3 linked regions of the Daphnia pulex genome follow. The protein of the gene in region 2 interacts with the protein of the main gene of each other region in a biochemical or structural test. Links are inferred from orthologs where the notes say so. Each region holds a gene or a part of one and is shown on either strand. Other genes may lie near its edges.

Region 1 (6,531 bases), on a different chromosome or scaffold from region 2:
TCAATAATCGCCGCTTGTAACCAAGTTGATCCCCAAAAAACACAATCGCACAAATTTCATCAGGTTGATGGGTTGTTCATGTAGTCTACGATATTACCTAAAAATAAGGTTGTTATTAGGTTCTAGTGACGGTGGAAACGAGCTACCAAATGGTGATCCGACCTATGAGTATGAAAGTGCCTCCAATGAACTGTGGATGGAGGCCAACCTGATGGCATATCGGTCAAACTTCAAAATCCAATACAACATTACAGTCTTGAGTATAAACATATATTATTTGATTTGCATTGACAATTTCAAATTAAATTATATCCTTATTTATAGCTTCAAATATCCACAATTATAACGAAACGTCAGGAAATATGACTTCTCCCGGTTATGGAATATCTTACCCATCTCAAACAACAGAAGATATACATGTGATTGATGTCACAGATGTGGCAGGGGAATATGTGGACCTGTTACTCACAGTTAATGTACTGGACATTGCAGGCATCAACGGGGACTACATCACACTTGGACCTGGTTATTCTCCTAGTTCTTGCATATTTATTGTATTTAAAAAAATTCGTATTTTTCGCTTCGTTACAGGGTCGGAACCTTCGGTTGATAAGAGCGCAGTTGTCCTCTCGTGGCGTGTTACCAAAGGAGTTCAATTTTTGATTGATGGACCTAAAGCTCATTTAGTTTTTAATGTTTTACGACCCGCCGACGCTGAACAGGTTTCCGCAAAAGGATTTTTCATCTCCTACCAAGTGATTGGTAATTACAACACCAGTAGTTGATGGTGACGGTAAAATATAAATTTTTTTGTTTCAATTATATAGAAAAGAATTTGACAACAGCAGCGCCCATGACCACACCTATGCCTACAAGCCCCACGCCTTTGCCATTTGATCCAGATATCCTTTTAACTGATGTCGTCTACCACACATATGTGGGCGCCGAAGCATCTTCACAGCTGGCAGAAATTTTGCAGATGTATGCCGAGTCATCTGGAATGCTGGAAAAAGGCGAAATAGTTCCTAATTTAACGTAATAAGCGATTTTTCTTCTATTCCATTGTTCATGAAATATTGAATTAAATTGTTTTCCTTAGTGCTGTCGGTACTGTCCAAATAGTTCAAGTTGAGAACTGTTATCATGGATGGAATGTCGATATGGACATCTGCGGTCTGACGCATGTGATTGTCCGCGCGTTTTACCAAAAAACAGGAGAGACTGATGTCACTTACGCCTTTCCGACCGAAGAAGTAAAAAAAGCTGTAAGGGAGTATGGCTACATTCACGAAGTCGTCCTGCCAGAAGACTTGGCCAACTTGTACTGGATCTTTGTTGGTGTCGTCCTCATTCTAATTATTTTAATCCTCATTGGGTTATTAATTGTCTGGCGGCAAAAAATGCGTCGTGACGCTAAAAAGTAACAACATTTTTCATTAGATATTTTTGAAATTACCGTAGACATAATTATTTTAATCATTTATGATTATTTAATTTTTTTTGGGTTAGGCGAAGAAAGTATCACGAAATAAAAAATGATAATCATTCCGTAGGTGCCGACAGTGACATTTCTATCACAGGCGTTGGCAAATCAAGTCGCTTCGAAATGAATTCTGGTGTTGATAATCCAAATTTCGTTATTGACGTAAGTTGTTGGCAACACATTTATTGTGTTTATCCTGAATTCAAACTCATTCGTTAATTTAACAGGAACAAGAAAATGGTCGCCCCGTAATGGTTTACGATCCGGAGAAAGGAACATTTTATTCGCGAAACAGTCACAGACCTACTTATCAAGTAAGAAATGTGGATCAGGGACCAGCTCGATCAGCGGCTGTACTGAATGTTTCACCCATCACCAGCGGTTTCCAACGGCAGAATGGAAGCAATAGAGATCAAATAGCGAATGAGGGAAACGATATGTCATCTATCATGCCACCACTTCCCACCGTACCTAAACGTGGAATCTTGAAGACTAAATCTAGCAGCAGTCCGACCAACCGCGAGTTTCCCAACATTTCTTCTATTCCAATGGAAGAGATGGAAGATGTTGTATTCGACAACGATACCTTTAAAAACATGCAACAACGTCGATACTCTCCTGCGTCTTCATCGTCGGATACGATAACATCTTCATCAAGGTCTAGTAGAGTGAACTCCATCTCCACGGATCAACAGTATGAATTGCATGATGTTGTACAATTTTAAAACAATATTCGTACATTCTTTGTTTCAGGATTGGATCACATGTTTTGTACGGTATCACATTGACGGATTTTGATTCAGAAGAAGAAATTGAAACTAATTTTTAAAAACAATTTAATAATCAACGCCTTATTATGACGCCTTATTATTTTATTATTATTTTTACTTATTCGTCTTTAAGAGGCCCATTTTTAGAATTGTAATTGATTTTCGCAGACAAGACATTTAATAAATCAAATAACTGAATTGAATTTTACTGTTATTAGTTCGAATTCGTGTAAAAAATAGTAATTTCGTAATTTCCCGCTTTACGCCATCTAGGTAGTGGTTATGTCATTACGTCTGTAAAACATTTTCTATTTCCACCGACAGGCAGAAAACTTCGTTCAGACGATTTTTAAATCTAGAGAAGTCATTTTCAACCGTTCACTCACAAATTTTCAGTAAGTTATTTTATTATATTCGTCGGAATTACAATAGGAATAAGTTTGTATGAATGTTTTGTTGATAGATGTGCTTAGAAGTAGTTGTCAGGTGAGACAAAGTATTTTTAAAATCATTCTGGTTATTTCTATTTGACCATGTGCTATAGTCATGCACAACTTAAATAGGGAAGTAAATTAAAACTAAATCAGTTGGTTGTAACATCGGTACATCTTTTAATAATTTCCCTCCGAAATTCTGAATGATGTTTCAGTGTCTTATGAGCCTCATACTGAAATGATGATTCACGATTTTCTTGTATTCTTGTGTGACAGGAATGGAGATCAATGATGCAAATTTATCAGAACTATTAGGTCATCTTCAAAAGACGCTATCACCTGATGGAGTTACGAGAAAATCAGGTATATTGCACAATTATTCTTTGTATTGACATAAATGCATGATTAATGTTTTTTTCATCAATAGCTGAAAAATGCCTTGAAAGCATTGAAGGAAAACAAAATTACCCACTGCTGCTTTTAAATTTGGTGGATAAAGATGGTGTTGACATGACACTGAGAACAGCTGGAGCTGTGACATTCAAGAATTACATTAAACGAAATTGGAAGGTTGAAGAAGATGCAGTAGATAAAATCCATCACTCTGATCGGGAAACTGTCAAACAGTTTATCATCAATTTAATGCTCAAAGCTCCTGAATCTATTCAACGCCAGCTCAGTGACGCTGTTTCAATTATTGGTCGTGAAGATTTTCCTGCAAAATGGCCAAATTTAATTCAAGAAATGGTGGACAAATTTGGCACGGGTGACTTCCACGTTATTAACGGTGTGTTGCATACTGCCCATTCCATCTTTAAACGTTATCGCTACGAGTTTAAGTCTCAAGAATTGTGGACTGAAATCAAATTGGTTTTGGATAACTTTGCCAAGCCACTGACAGACCTGTTTATTACGATGATGGGTTTGGCTGCGCAACATGCTAATAATCCGGCAGCTGTAAAGGTCATCTATAATTCCCTGACCATCATTTGCAAAATTTTCTATTCGCTGAATTTTCAAGACTTACCCGAGCATTTTGAAGACAACATGAAATCATGGATGGAAAACTTTCTTGGCCTTCTTACCACCGACAATCCTTTACTGAAGAGTGACAGCGATGAAGAAGCCGGATTAGGTGAACAATTAAAATCACAAATCTGCGATAATATCAGTCTCTACGCTTCGAAATATGATGAAGAATTTCGCCCTTATTTGCCTCAATTTGTCACTGCCGTCTGGAATCTTTTGGTTTCAACCGGCAAAGAGGTAAGACACCGCTGAATACTCATTTTCAATGAGTGGTTTTTCTAATGTTCAAAATCTCTTTCGTCTATAGGTCAAGTACGATTCACTCGTTAGTAATGCAATCGGCTTTTTGAGTTCCGTGGCTGAGCGACCACATTACAAAGACCTTTTCGCTGACCCCAATATCCTGAGTTCCATTTGCGAGAAGGTTATTTTGCCCAACATGGATTTCCGGCCATCGGATGAAGAACTCTTTGAGGACAACCCAGAAGAGTACATTCGGCGTGATATCGAAGGTTCTGACGTAGACACTCGACGACGAGCAGCCTGTGACTTAGTCAAAGCCCTTTCAAAATCCTTCGAGGCCCAGATGACGGAAATCTTTGGTCGGTACGTTGCTGTCATGTTGGAGTCGTACGTACAAAGCCCAGAAAAGAATTGGCGGTCAAAGGATTCTGCCGTTTATCTCATCATTGCGTTAGCCTCGAAAGGTCAGACGGCTCGACACGGCACGACTCAAACTAACCAGTTGGTAGATCTTGTGGATTTCTTCCGCACGCACATAGTGCCCGAACTGCAACAACCCAACGTTGACCGGCTCATGGTCTTGAAAGCGGATGCAATCAAATACTTGATGACTTTCCGCAACCACCTACCCCGCGAGGCCATCATTGTCTCGTTGAAACCCTTGGTGGACCTGCTTCGTTCACCGAGTCTGGTCGTTCACTCCTACGCAGCCAATGCCATCGACAAATTGCTTATTCTCAAGGGATCCGATGGATCGGCCTTGATTAAAGCAACTGATTTGTCTGGAATGGAGCAAGCATTGCTGGCAAACTTGTTCCATGCAATGACTCTTGCGGGATCGGAAGAAAATGAATACATCATGAAGGCCATCATGCGAACCTTTTCGTCGCTACAAGAAGCTGTTTTACCCTATCTAGGTCACACTTTGGTTGGCCTGAATCAAAAGTTAATGTTGGTGTCCCGAAACCCTTCCAAGCCACATTTCAATCACTACCTGTTTGAAACACTTTCGCTGTCGGTTCGCATCGGTTGCAAAGCTGATCGATCAGCCGTCGCTTCCTTTGAAGAAGGATTCTTTCCTTCTTTTCAGGAAATTTTACTTCAGGACGTACAGGAATTCGTCCCTTATGTTTTTCAAATTCTTTCTCTTATGCTTGAGTTGCGCGGTGGGCAGTCTGAAGTGCCTGAATCTTACATGGCTTTATTCCCTCATCTGCTGGTTCCAGTCCTCTGGGAGCGCCCTGCAAACATCCATCCATTAGTGCGTCTCCTTCAAGCCTTTATCCAAATTGGCAGTCGTCAAGTTGTTGCGTCGCAAAAGCTTGAAGCGTTATTAGGCATCTTTCAAAAGCTAGTGGCCAGTAAATCTAATGATCATGAAGGATTTTACCTGCTGCAAAGCATGATTGAATATCTGCCCAAGGAAGCGCTTACGCCTTTCTTGAGTAAACTCTTTGTACTCTTATTCCAGAGGCTTTCATCCTCCAAAACAACGAAGTACGTCAAATCGATCATAGTCTTTTTCTCCTTGTTCGCCATTCGCTACAGTCCCACAGAGTTGATTGCCGTCATAGACGCTGTCCAACCGAAAATCTTCGCCATGGTTCTCGATCGTCTCATAGTACCTGATGTTCAACGCGTGTCGGGCACTTTGGAACGCAAAATTTGCGCCGTTGGACTAGCTCGTCTGCTCTGCGACACTCCCGAATGTTTCACAGGTATTTTTCTGACCTCTTTTAACATGTATGTTGTATTGCTAACATTCAATTTGTAATCCTCAGGAGTATACAGCACTTTTTGGGGGCCGGTGTTGGGGGCCTTGATTGGCTTGATTGAATTGCCCGAGGACGAGTCTGTGCCAGAGGACGAACACTTTGTTGAAATCGTGGACACACCTGGCTATCAGTCAGCTTTTTCACAGTTGATATTTGTAGGCAAGAAAGAGCGCGACCCAGTCGCCGAAGTAGCCGACCCACGAGCTTATCTCGTTCAAGCACTGCACCGATTATCGACGCAGAATCCTGGTCGAGTCGGTCCCATGATTAGCGCTGCCTTGCCACCGGGGGCTCAAAATTATATTCAGCAGTATCTTCAGGCAGCGAATCTCTGTCTAGCTTGAAGGATGTCCATCTATTCTCTCGTACCTTGTCATTTCTCAGTCGCTGTTGTGCTTTATGGTTTCATTCTGTATCGATCATGAATAAAATGCTGCATCTTTCGCACGAATTGAGAATATAACCCATTTGGAAGTAGTTAACTGTAATCATAGGTAAAAAGAGGGCGTTTCGCATTAGGATGTAATTCAGTTTCCTATTCCTGGCACCCTTATAAAGAACGGGAAACTTTCACATCCTTATGAAATTTGGGTTTTACCAATGCCTTTGGGCTTTGGCCATCAGTCTGGATCTGTTCACGAGGTAATCCTTGATGGAAAAGTGTTAGAAATTAATTAAAAATAAATAAAATTTCAATTAATAATTTAATCCGATGTGATTAATTTACTTTTAAAATATGGATAAAATTCAGTTTGGTGATATACGATATTATTATTTCTACCGCTAGCAGAAGTCGA
Region 2 (6,293 bases):
ACACCTATTTTGTGCACGTGAAATAAATAAATAAAGGTTTTAAAAGTAAAGGGGAACTGTCACACATTAACAACTTACCACAGCGACAGCCAGAACGAAGAGAATAATCGGAATTGATTTCATTTTCTATATAGAAGATGTAGAGGTTATGAATCCAAAACCGAAATCGTCCGTCGCATTTGTCTATGTTGATTGTAAAATAGCTCCAGTTTTCCTAGGCCTTGAGTGAAACAGCATGGACTAAATTGAATCTCTTCACCCACTTTGGGCGACACGCCATGAAACGCAGTCGAATTCCTGTTGCTACAAAGGAGGGGCAGTTTATGGGTTCAAACGGTTGGGCAGCAGCAACTGCCTGGGATACATGGTTGAATTTCTCCTGATTACCGAGTCCAACAGAAGGGCTACAGTGTTGATTCATCCAACAGCAATCGTGGATCAAAGTGCCATAAGGATCGACTACTACTTGCTGATCAACTTCAGAATGGAAATCCTGAATCCTGTTAAATAATAGCAAAAACTTTAAAGAAAACATTGGAAAACTAATTTAACTTTGATAAGGGTCCAGACGTTGTAAGATGATTCCTGTAGTCGATAGTAGTATCTGTTAGGGTTAAATGTCAACGTAGAAATGAAACTTTGATGTGGAAATTATCTACAAATGTCAGAACACGGATTAACTGTAAGCAGCCAACAACCTGGAATCAGGAAATCAACTTGAAATACAAAAAATAAAAACTAGCACGACAAAATCAAAACTTATCAAATGTAGAGTTGATCGAGTTGTTTTGTATTGCTCGTTTATCGCGCATTGAGAAAGAGGAAAGAAGACGTCGTGCATGGACAGAAATGAAAGCAAATGGCAACTTTCAATTAAAAAACAATTTAGAAAAAAACTTTGAAATAAGAAAAGGCCAAAACTCATGATTAGGATAGCGTTCAAGAAAGTGAAGAATATATTTACCGTTGTAAAGGCAGAAAAAAATCAAAAAGAATTTTTAGATTATACAAAATTTAGAATGAGAAACCTCCTTCGGGGGCTTGAGATGGCGAGTTGTTGAATTCGTAATTGCCACTCTGCGATGTAGATGGCGCCAACTCGGAATCTTCATCCCCCTGTCGAAATAACAAACAAAAACGATTAAATCAAATTCAAGAACACTATTTCAAAATAAAACTAATTTTCTAAAATCTCAGTAATGGTTAAGTTGTCAGCACAAACACTATGAATGTGAACAGTTGTGGTAATCATTGAAATAAACCCAAAAAAAGAAACAATAAAAAAAGAATAAATTACGTCAGTTGAGAAGTACTGCTCCAGAATGGCCAATGACTTGTGATAGATTTCAACATTGTCGTGGCTCTGCAGAGCTTCGATGCGGTCCAGACCACCACACTCTTCGACGTGAAGGGAAACTTTCTCCAATTCACCCATTTTCTCAGCTGCGGCCAAAATATTAGCCAATCCATCCAGCACGACCAAGATGGTCTTGGGTTCCTTTGCCTCCAGCAAAGTGCACAGCGGAGCGATGGCACCAAACTGGCACAACAAGGCGATCTGCTCCACATTGCCACCTGAAATGAATAAGAAAAATCAATTAAAAATCAATAAAACACCAGTAAAAATGAAATAAGTTACCTAAAGTGATGTTGGTGATGGCCCAAGCTGCCTCCTTTTGGCATTTGAAGTCACCTTTGCCCAGCACATCCACCAACGGACGAATAACATTGTTGGTGATGAGAGCCTGAATCTGGATGGCATTGCCGGCAGCAATGTTGGACACGGTCCAGGCAGCCTCCTTGACGATGTTCATCTTAGCATGAACGAGTAACTTGGCCAGCAACGGGCAGGCACCAGCAGCCAGGACGGAATCGGTCTGAATGTCACTTCCTGTAACGATATTCCCGATTGTTCTCAGAGTGGGGGTGATCACGGCCACCTCAACGTGGTCCAGCAAAGCGACCAGCCGTGGGACGACACCGGCGTCGACAACCTCCTGAATCCGTTCGTTGGGGCCATCGGTGAGGTAAGAAAGAGCCCAGCAAGCATCGGCGAGGATCTCTTTGTCGTTGTTGTGGATCAGGTGGGCCAATGCGGGAAGCAGTTGCCGGACGGCAGGGACACTGGGCGGAGGATTCTTGTTACGACACAAGTTGGACAAAGTCCAAGTGACATTACGCAAGAATGTGGCCTATAGATCAAATCAATTAACAACTGCACACGAACGTAAATTTAAAATAAAACTCACCGAAGTATCAGGTTTAATCAAAGTAAGCAGAGGCTTGATAATGCCTTGCTCGATGACGTGATCACGAAGCTCTGGTCCGTCTCCGGCGATGTTACCCAGAGCCCAAACAGCTTGCTCTGCCACAACTGGATGAGGTGACCCCAACAGGGAAATGAAGCCAGCGACAGCCCCAGCACTGACGACAGCCTTTGTCTGGTCAGATGTGCCTGAAGCAATGTTGGTGAGAGCCCAGGCTGACTCAAACTGCAGATCGGGGCTGAAACAAAGAAAGACCATTAGGAAATGTTCAAAAACCAAAAGAGACACTTGACATACTTGCTGACACGACTGAGAAACTCCACCAGCTTCGGAACAACATTTGCATTAATGAGGATGTCAATGGGTGGATTACGTTCCCTGCTGAGGATTTTACGGGCAGCATGGGTTGCAGTGATCTCCTTGTTCTCATCACCACTGTTGATACCTAACGATAATGAAAAACATATGAGAAGCAACTCAGAAATAAAAACTGATGCACACATACCATTGACTATGTCCTCAATGCTCATATTTGCTGCAGCCATCCGATTCTGTTCTTGGAGTGGGCTGAGGGGCTCATCATCGATTTCAAGGTTACGTCTCTTCAACAAATGATCTTCCTTCTTGGCTTTCCGCAACTCAACATTCACCTCTGTACGTCTCCTCCTCATTTCCTGAACAAGAAAGATGAAAAATCTGTTACATTTGAGAACTGACACTAGTTATTTTAAGGTATTTACCTCAACATCTCTGCCTTTGTTCTTGAAGTCCTTCAACCGGCTGGGATTTGCTTCAGTAGGCATTGTGATAGTGTAATTTACTCCAGCTGTCAAAGAAAGAGAATTCTAAAAGGGATTTTCAAATCTGGCACAATGACAAAAGAAAAATGAGAAATGGGACTCGAGACAATGAAGCAACAAAGAGAAAAAATTTCCCGCGCCACGTGCAAAATTTCCCAGACTATGGCAGTCGTTAAAAATGTGTCAATGATGACTCATACCATTATTTCACAATTTGTTATAGTCGAAGCAAGAAGTAAACTATTATTCCACGTGGGAATGTCAGAAAAATTGAAAATTAATAGAGAGAGGAATTACCTGCGGGACTTGTGAGCAAGAATCAATTGATGAATGGTGACCGTTTGATCGCTAAGAGAATTCCAGACGACGAAGAAGAAGAAGGGGGAGGGAATTTCAAACCTAACCGTTGCCTGTTGCCAAATTTATTCATTGATGCAATCGGAATGGGATCAAATCTGGCAACGTATAAGCAGACGAGAAAATTTAAAATTTCAAAATAAGCAGAAAATGAAAAACGCCGATGGAGCTGGTCATAATAGAATTTAACTGAAATTGATAATTGATTTTAATAAGAATTTGTTACCATAGGATTTCTCATTAATTAACCTTCTGACTTAATGATCTGTTGGAAGTCTTTCTTTAAGAACATGATGTATGATGATGTCCAAATGACAGTGTCAGAGATCTCTCCCCTGGTTTAAACAGTTTTCATAAAACTAGCATCAACAATTTTTATGTTGGCAGGAAGAAGTTATACAAATATAGATCCAGTAATCTTGAACATTCAATTTATATAAAACTGTTTTCCAAACTAAAAAAGTGGCAAAAATTTGAATACCAGCCAGTGCCAGCCGATTCCTGAAAGCTTAAACTTTAGACTGCCATCTGGAAGAAAGAAAAGTTTTCTCCCACAACCCAAATTAATTTATACTAAATTTTCAAATATTTTTCAGACCAAATTTTCCATCAGTTGTAAGAGTATCATCCAAAATCAGTGTGAACAGAATCAACAGATAAAGTATGGAAGAAACTTCATTTTAATACATCTTCCTAACGAAATGAGGTAGGCCTAGCTGTGATACCAAACATACAGAATGAAATTTAGATTTACAATGTCTCTTGTCTGATCTCTAAACTTTCTGTAGAAATTAAAACGTTTTAATTGCTTTAAACACTAACAGTTGTGAATTCAAGTTATATATCTTATTTCATTTAATTTATTAAATCAGTGGCAGGCAAATAACTTTTATTTTTAAAAATCAGTTTCATCCGACTGCAAGAGGGGACCGTTTAGCCTTTCGACAAGTTTGATCAACAGAGCGTACCAAATATAGTTCAGTTGGAATCGCTAATTCCGACACAGGTGGTCGTAAAATCCGTGCTGGACAGTGTGCACGTAATACGTTAAACACATTTTTCAGTCTATACGTTTCTTAAAAACTAATCATATTCTGTGATTAGGTCACGTGTGCTAATAGACTCTAAAATTCCTTTTCATTTCCAATTTCCCCACAATTAGTTGCAATCCGCCGGGCAGTTCCAAAAGAAACGGAGAAATCCAACGTGAACAGCTGCAACTCCCGTCATCGGTTCAACTGGATTACAACGACCCTGCAAAGTTGGTGTTGCAGTTGGTGTTTATTCCAACACATTCGTATCACGTCCAATCATTTTCCAGCCCCTCGTAAATTGTCAAGTTTCATTTGAATCCGATAGTTCAACTGGCGCTACTTAAATAATCGACATAGAAAAATGCGGCTCGACTATAAAATGACGACCCACTTGGGCGTTTGAATTCCTAAACCCCCACGTCTGATCTCCTAGATAAAAAATGAAGTTCCTTCCGATTCTCTTCCTTCTGGTTGCCGTCTGCCTGGTTGTCGCCATGGTGAGTTGTTTTGACATTTCTCGTTTAAGTTTCAATCTGTTCCACGTCTCTTTTTTAATTGAACATAATGTGGCGCATTATTATTTGATGATGCACGAAACAGGAGGCCCAAACAACCAAGAAACCAACACCTGCAACGACCACCAGCAAGACACCAACAACAACTGCCAAGACAACTGTTAAATCAACAACATCGAAGACAACGACAACCACCAAACCGTGTCCAGTAGTACCACCGTTAGAACGTCGTCCACTAAACCTGCCACGACGACAACAACAGCCAAACGGACAACTGCCAAGACAACAACGTCAGTCAAAACAACCGCACGAACGACGACATCCCTGAAGCACCGCAAACAACATCGCAGAAAACAATCAGCACAAAATCCAACACCCCCGCCAGGACAAAAGCTGCACCAACAACAACGTCAATTCCTTCACCGGCTCTTTTTGATTGTTCAGTTTCCGATCCAGGTATAATAACACGACGTGATTAAGCTGCAGTTGAAACTTGGATATTCAAATGTCTAATGAATCGAAATTTCTCTCGTTCAATTGCATCGCGGACGACTGTACAAATCAATTGCGGACACCATCTAGCCTGCGGAACTATGTGCACCAATCTGACGTCAACGGGAGGTGTTGTCCATTCTCCCAATTTCCCCGGCGACTACGGGAATGATTAATTCAGGATTTGCGAAGTCGATCGTTGTCGTGCCAGCAGGAAAGAAAATCCAATTGACATTCACCATCTTTAATGTGGAGACTGACTACGGTCATGTTTATGTAAGTAATAATGCATCAAACTGTTGATTCTGTTGTTTGATTGATACAAAGTTAATTACTGTATTTCAGTATTATTCAGGGAAATGACTACACTTGTTTGACTTCTCAAGGTTAGCGACAGATACACGGATTTATTATATGGGCCAACCGGCCACGGGTCCGGAAGAACAATTCAGTCACCACAGCATCCACCATCATGTTTATACAGTTTGTTACCTATGCCACTACTAAACCCAAACCCACAATCTATAATTGGCAGGTGACTTACACTGCTGTCGCGATCAATAAGGTTTCCCAGTATTTAGATTCTAAACATTACCTTCAAACGCTGATTACCATTTTCTTTTTTATTCTTGAGCAGGGTAATACAACCACAACGACATCTACGGTGCCAACGACTGTAAAATAAATGGCTTTGCTTCTCGTTTGATCGACGCTGATCGACAGTCCTGATTAAATGAACCATTGAACAGGTGAGAAACGTCCTGCAGCAGTCACAATGCCATCAGTGAACCACCATGACGCTCCCTGTGCTCTTTAACACTCAGCGTC
Region 3 (6,306 bases), on a different chromosome or scaffold from region 2:
GCAAAAATTAAAATTGAATTAAAAGAGGGAATCTATGTTAGCGGATAATACTTTGGGATAATATAGTTTCCTTTGTCGCTGTCATCGATTAATATCGATTTTTGCCATGGAGCTTTCACCTGTTGAATAAAGCGACAAGTGTCTTGAAATAAATTCGATGTGTATCTAAATGCAGTGAATTAATTACGCGAAAGATATGTCCCCGGATTGGGTGGACTGATATGTCGTTGACCAATTCTTTGGCTCCTATTCCGGAGCAGTTGATAATGACATCAAAATCGGAAGCAATCTCTTCGAGACTTTCAAGTCGTTTGACTATGACGATGCCATTTTTTGAGCGAAATTCTTCCAGCAGGTGGGGCATTAATTTAGACCCTTCACAAATAAAGGTGACAAAACGGTAGCCTTGCCTGTGATTCAAGATTTAAAAATAAATTTCACTGTGACTCACGATGCAGTAGCAGTATAACAATATTAGCAGACCTCCATTCAGGCTTATTGTACAATGCCAATTCTTCTTTTGTAAGAACTTGAAATCCATAGACGAAATCGCTATACATGGGCACGGGATTTACCGTGTCAGAAGTCTGCAAACATGGCACAAGAGAGACTCCAAGTTTTCCTCCTACAGGAGAGTCCCATAGTTTCTTTAAAAAAATCCATGTATCCTTGGAATAAACACTACAAACAATAGAATTAAAAGTTAAATATAGCTTTAACTTTAGAAAGAAACTTACTAAACATCTTTTTCAGGAGTGTCTCCCAACAAGAAAGGCATCCAAAGTCCAGCTAATAATGTAAACAAAAACAGAAATGTAGTCTTATATTATAAAAAACTTTTGTTGATGAACAAACTATACCTGCCCCATCACTTGTTGTTCCAGGGCTAAATTTGTCGGCAAAAAGGGTAATAGGTAAATTGGGGAATTTCTCTTGAAGTACTGTTGCAACACTCAGGCCAGTCACACCTGCTCCAATCACTGCTACTTTCACAACCATAGTGATTAGTTTAAATACAACACAATATGATGAATACACAAAGTCAATCCAATCGAGATTTTCTGGGTCTTGATCTAATGCGACTGCCTGTTGCTTCAGCAGCAGATGCTTCAGGTTTAGGGTCAGATACAGTTCCCAGCAACTCCCTAACAAACTTGAATCGTGACAAGAAGAATTTCCAAACTAGAAACCAACCTGATTAGAAACACAATAGATTAGAATGTTTTTTAGGTTTAAGCATATGATTAAAAATAAGCATCAAGGACAAAATTTTTATCATGAATTTAAAAAAAGACATAAAGATAACTGTTGTTGATGTTCTTCGCCCATGCATATTAATATTGCGTAAACAACTTACCAATTCCAACAATGCTCAAAACAATAATAACGGAAGCCACCAATCCTAGAATCACGAGTAGTACGTCAGTGACGAAATGGCTCATTTTTATGGAAGTAAAAATACAAAATTTATTTATTCGTTGCCATGTTTAAACACGTAGACAGCAGACAGATTGTGTTATCAAAGTTATTGACTACTGATTTTCTGCAGACAAACAGAGAGCGTTCAGTATGGTTACGTTTTTGCCTTTCTACCTGGTTCCGCGATAGTGGCGGTACCTGTCGTCCTTCAACAACGATACTTAATTTGGATTATTCTTGTAATAAATGTTTTCTATTCGCACGTAGGACAATTTTTCTTTTCATTTTGATGTAAGTTTTTTTACATTTTAATAGTTTGACTATCCTGTCGAATCTATGACGAAATGCTTGGATACAATTCAAGTCAGTACGTGTTGCAGCATTAACGGGCGTCGTCAGCTGAGAATAGGTTGCATTTTAATCATGGTTCACAAGGAACAACGAATTATTCTTCATTTTAGGAACTATAACAATTTATTCGTAAAAGTTAAAGCAGTAGCAATATTTTAAAATATAGAAATCTGCTCTATTGATTCAAATTTCAAATTGGCGCCATCTATTCTGACAGTTACTAACCGAAAAAGCTTCCAATTCCCTGTGGGATTGACGGACTCATAAATATCATAGCAGCCTACAAAAATTATAATTTAGTGAAATTTGACTCTAATTAAGAAACTATGTAGGGCAGTACGCTTTTCTTAACTTCGAAGGATAGCAAGTTGATTATTTTAAAGTTGAAAATCAAATTTCAACTGTAGTGGCAAAATGGCGTTTCCTTAATTCCAATTAATCAAATGCAGTTTTCCCCGGAGAGTTTTCATAATTTTTGGATACTCTTGGTTAAACAATCACATTTTTTCGTAATCACTTTGCCGCCATTTTATGAGAGCGGAAGTTAACTTAACCCTACGCATGGACTACATAGATCCGATTGAAATACTACATTCTTTAACAAAAAGATTCATGATTAGATTTAAAATAATTGAAAAATTTTATTTTTCACAGTACGTCGTTTTAATATATTTTATTTTTGGTCATTAGTTGAATATAAAAAATTCGTGTAATTCTTTTTCAAATAGAGGTCGCTTTTCCTTGAGAAAAACTGGTGGTTTTTTTTTCGCCACATGTGTTCGCCCTTCGCCGGTTGAGACGAACTTAACCGTCTGATTCTTTCACGCCTAGCTATTAACAAGTCCTAGAAGTTTTTTTTACGACTGAAAGATCTGTGATATTTATTAATAAAAGGAGGGAAAATGGTGCCCGAACCAAATATTCAACTAATTCAAATTTTGGAGAAAACTGTATCGTCAGGTTAGTTACTTAAATTTACTTTTTTCTACAACGGCATGGTTACAACGCCATTGATTTTTCCCGAACACTGAATGGTTTTAGTAACTGTCATTCACGTTTTGTCTAACAGAGAAGAATGAATTGGAAGCAGCCCAAAATTATCTTGAACAGGCAGCAAGAGGCAATCTGGTAAGCAACTTTCTTTGTTTCAACCAACTTTTCTCCCATTTTTGTGTTGCTAAGCAAAACTTGTATCAAATGTGGTTTGGCTAGATAAATTTAAAATTCAAACTAAGTCTCTACTTTGCTAAACTTGTACTTCTCACATAGGTTGAGTTCATCAGAGCCTTGTCTGACATTCTTGCCCATGGAGCAAATAGCCCTGTTGCCCGCATGGCAGCTGGTCTGCAGTTGAAAAATTGCTTGACTTCAAAAGATACCGATGTCAAGCTGGAATACCAGCAGAGATGGTTGTCATTCCCACACGATCTAAGGACCTATGTAAAAAAGAACATTTTAGCTGCTTTGGGTACAGAGACCATCCGCCCTAGCTCTGCTGCTCAATGTGTTGCGTACATGGCAGTTGCTGAACTACCAGTCAGTCAGTGGCCAGAATTGATATCTGTACTTGTTGCCAATGTCACTGCAGCTAACAGCACAGAAATGGTTCGGGAAGCCACTCTGGAAACGATTGGATATATTTGCCAGGATATTGTGAGTGATTCAAGTATTACATAATTTGGATGAGAAAATTATAAAATATGTTTTAAAAATGCAGGATGCTGAAGTACTAGCTACTCAGTCGAACGAGATTCTCACTGCTATCGTACATGGCATGAAACGTGAGGAACCAAGCAATCACGTCAGATTGGCTGCCACAACTGCGCTATTGAATTCATTGGAGTTCACTAAAGCTAACTTCGACAAAGAAGTATGTATTTTACTATTTGAATACCTACGTTTGTTATTACTGATCGCTTTCTAATTGTGTAGAGTGAACGGCACTTCATCATGCAAGTTGTGTGTGAAGCAACGCAATCTCCCGACACAAAAGTACGGGTTGCAGCACTTCAATGTCTGGTCAAAATTATGTCCCTATATTACCAATACATGGAGCACTACATGGGGCCAGCACTTTTTGCGGTGAGTTAATCAAACTGACAAAAAAATTTATACAAATTTTAAAGTTTTTACTCATTATTATGAATAGATTACACTGGAAGCGATGAGGTCGGAGATTGATGAAATCGCACTGCAAGGTATTGAGTTCTGGTCGAACGTTTGTGACGAAGAGGTGGATTTGGCTATCGAGGCCAGCGAAGCTGCTGAAATGGGCCGTCCGCCTGAACATACGTCTAAATTCTACGCAAAGGGAGCTCTTCAATATCTAGTTCCTGTGTTGATGCAAACGTTGACTAAACAAGAAGAGTATGATGATGAAGACGATTGGAATCCCTGTAAGGCTGCCGGTGTGTGTCTCATGTTGTTAGCCAACTGCTGTGAAGATGTCATCGTTCCTCACGTCCTTCCTTTCGTCAAGGAGAACATTGAGGTTGGATACAGTTCTTGAAATCACATTTTTGGTACAATAACATTTTCGTTTTTCAACAACTTTAGAATCCAGACTGGCGTTTCCGTGACGCCGCCGTAATGGCTTTTGGTTCTATCCTTGAAGGACCTGATGCTGTTCAGTTAAAACCTATTGTTGAACAAGCTATGCCTTTCCTTTTCAAATTGATGCATGATACAAGCGTTAATGTACGTGACACTGCAGCCTGGACGATTGGACGAGTTTGTGAAATCATCCCCGATGCAGCTGTGGCTCCCCCCAATCTTCAGCCACTGCTTCAGGCTCTCGTTACTGGACTGACTGCTGAGCCTCGTGTCGCTTCTAATGTTTGCTGGGCTTTCTCGAGCCTGGCTGAAGCTGCCTATGAAACTGCTTCACAGGTAACACTGAAAATTTGTAACTACGTTCAAATAAACCTAAATTTATGTTCTTGAGTTGAATAGGCTACCGATGGAAATGAACCAGATTCGTACTGCCTGTCTGAATATTTTGAGCCCATCGTTCAAAAGCTATTGGAAACGACTGATCGGCCTGATGCTGCTCAAGCTAACCTCCGTGCTGCTGCCTATGAAGCTTTGATGGAAATGGTCAAGAACTCGCCCAAAGATTGCTATATTACTGTACAGAAGACCACAATGGTCATCTTGGAGAGATTGCAACAGGTATTATCACTTACTCTAAAGCATGTTTTGGCATTGTAAAACGGATAAATTTTTTTAGGTTCTTAACATGGAATCCCACGTGTCGTCGCATTCGGATAGAGTCCAATACAACGATCTTCAGTCGCTGCTCTGCGCCACATTACAGAGCGTGCTTCGTAAAGTCACCCCAGAAGATGCTCCCAAGATCTCTGACCCGATCATGGCGGCCTTGCTGCAGATGTTCAATTCGAGCGCTGGGCCAAATCGTGCTGGTGGTGTTCAGGAAGATGCGTTGATGGCAGTGGCAACATTGACGGAAGTCCTTGGCGAAGGATTCATCAAGTACATGGAAGCCTTCCGTCCCTACCTTATCATGGGATTGAGAAACCACGCCGAGACTACCATCTGCCAGGCGTCCGTCGGACTGGTTGGCGACATTTGCCGAGCTCTAGGCGCCAAGATCTTGCCTTTTTGTGATTCAATCATGTCGCTTCTATTGGAGACCCTTGGCAACAACGAAGTTGATAGAAAAGTCAAACCCCAGATTTTGGCTGTATTCGGAGATATGGCTTTGGCAATCGGCCCAGAATTCAAGAAGTATCTTGAATTGGTTATTGGCATGCTGCACCAAGCATCTCAAGCCCAAGTCAACCGAGTAATTACAATTTCGTTTAATTTGAAAGTGTTTGGTTTTAATGTTTGGTTATTTGCAGAATGATTTTGATATCATGGATTATTTGAATGAACTGCGCGAATGCTGCCTTGAAGCATACACTGGAATTGTTCAGGGTCTCAAAGGGGAAGACAAAGAAACTATTGGAAATGATGTCCAGCTTATACTTCCACATGTTCCCCACATGATAAACTTCATCACTACGATTGCGAGAGACCGGGAGAAATCAGATGGCACCATTTCTGCCGCCGCTGGTCTTATTGGGTACAGGATCATTTTTTATTTAGCTAGTACTTGTATTTAATATAATTCTCTCTCAGCGATCTTTGCTCTGCCTTTGGACATCAATTGCTGCCTTTCGTTGACACTGAACCAATCACCGACATGCTGACTATTGGACGACGATCTAAAACGGGAAAGACAAAGACTCTGTCTAACTGGGCCACGAAGGAAATCCGCCGACTGAAGGCCACCGTTACTTCGAGTTGGTGAGTGTTTTAGCTGCTAGTTTTTTTAAATATTAAAATCAGAGGAACGCAAAATTCTTTATTATTTTTCTACTTAAAATACCTTACTTTATTTTAAAAGATTAAGTTTACTTTATTTTAGGTTAGGTACGTACAGTATGTTAAATATTGGTTGTAAGGTTGATTGAGAGTGAAAGAGTATGGATATGAATGCGATTCTTTGTCTTATTATCTGTTACAGATTGG

The links.
Region 1: the proteins of importin subunit alpha-1-like (region 2) and exportin-2-like form a complex in vitro, tested with the Homo sapiens proteins (2 studies listed by BioGRID). The link is inferred for Daphnia pulex from reciprocal best matches to the Homo sapiens genes KPNA2 and CSE1L.
Region 3: the proteins of importin subunit alpha-1-like (region 2) and importin subunit beta-1-like form a complex in vitro, tested with the Homo sapiens proteins (6 studies listed by BioGRID and IntAct, with this or other methods). The link is inferred for Daphnia pulex from reciprocal best matches to the Homo sapiens genes KPNA2 and KPNB1.

Annotation. Positions count from the first base shown.
Region 1 is NC_060018.1:3,694,718-3,701,248, reverse strand, and holds exportin-2-like, read left to right. Parts: upstream 1-2,560; 5' UTR 2,561-2,648; exon of another isoform or gene 2,649-2,739; intron 2,740-2,963; 5' UTR 2,964-2,965; coding exon 2,966-3,050; intron 3,051-3,114; coding exon 3,115-3,953; intron 3,954-4,023; coding exon 4,024-5,677; intron 5,678-5,740; coding exon 5,741-6,078; 3' UTR 6,079-6,185; downstream 6,186-6,531. Other genes in the region: uncharacterized protein LOC124188473, read left to right, coding at 120-260, 325-525, 592-762, 828-1,035, 1,100-1,420, 1,510-1,645, 1,711-2,177, 2,237-2,312. UniProt on the Homo sapiens protein: Export receptor for importin-alpha. Mediates importin-alpha re-export from the nucleus to the cytoplasm after import substrates (cargos) have been released into the nucleoplasm.
Region 2 is NC_060028.1:48,278-54,570, forward strand, and holds importin subunit alpha-1-like, read right to left. Parts: upstream 3,518-6,293; 5' UTR 3,365-3,517; intron 3,132-3,364; exon of another isoform or gene 3,094-3,131; 5' UTR 3,071-3,093; coding exon 3,008-3,070; intron 2,942-3,007; coding exon 2,773-2,941; intron 2,713-2,772; coding exon 2,565-2,712; intron 2,506-2,564; coding exon 2,250-2,505; intron 2,193-2,249; coding exon 1,640-2,192; intron 1,576-1,639; coding exon 1,298-1,575; intron 1,117-1,297; coding exon 1,015-1,116; 3' UTR 770-1,014; downstream 1-769.
Region 3 is NC_060020.1:1,461,407-1,467,712, reverse strand, and holds the start of importin subunit beta-1-like, read left to right. Parts: upstream 1-2,482; 5' UTR 2,483-2,672; coding exon 2,673-2,730; intron 2,731-2,839; coding exon 2,840-2,898; intron 2,899-3,039; coding exon 3,040-3,423; intron 3,424-3,487; coding exon 3,488-3,640; intron 3,641-3,702; coding exon 3,703-3,852; intron 3,853-3,919; coding exon 3,920-4,261; intron 4,262-4,326; coding exon 4,327-4,659; intron 4,660-4,722; coding exon 4,723-4,941; intron 4,942-4,999; coding exon 5,000-5,575; intron 5,576-5,633; coding exon 5,634-5,857; intron 5,858-5,913; coding exon 5,914-6,081; intron 6,082-6,301; coding exon 6,302-6,302; 3' UTR 6,303-6,306. Other genes in the region: D-aspartate oxidase-like, read right to left, coding at 52-119, 188-410, 484-681, 738-789, 861-999.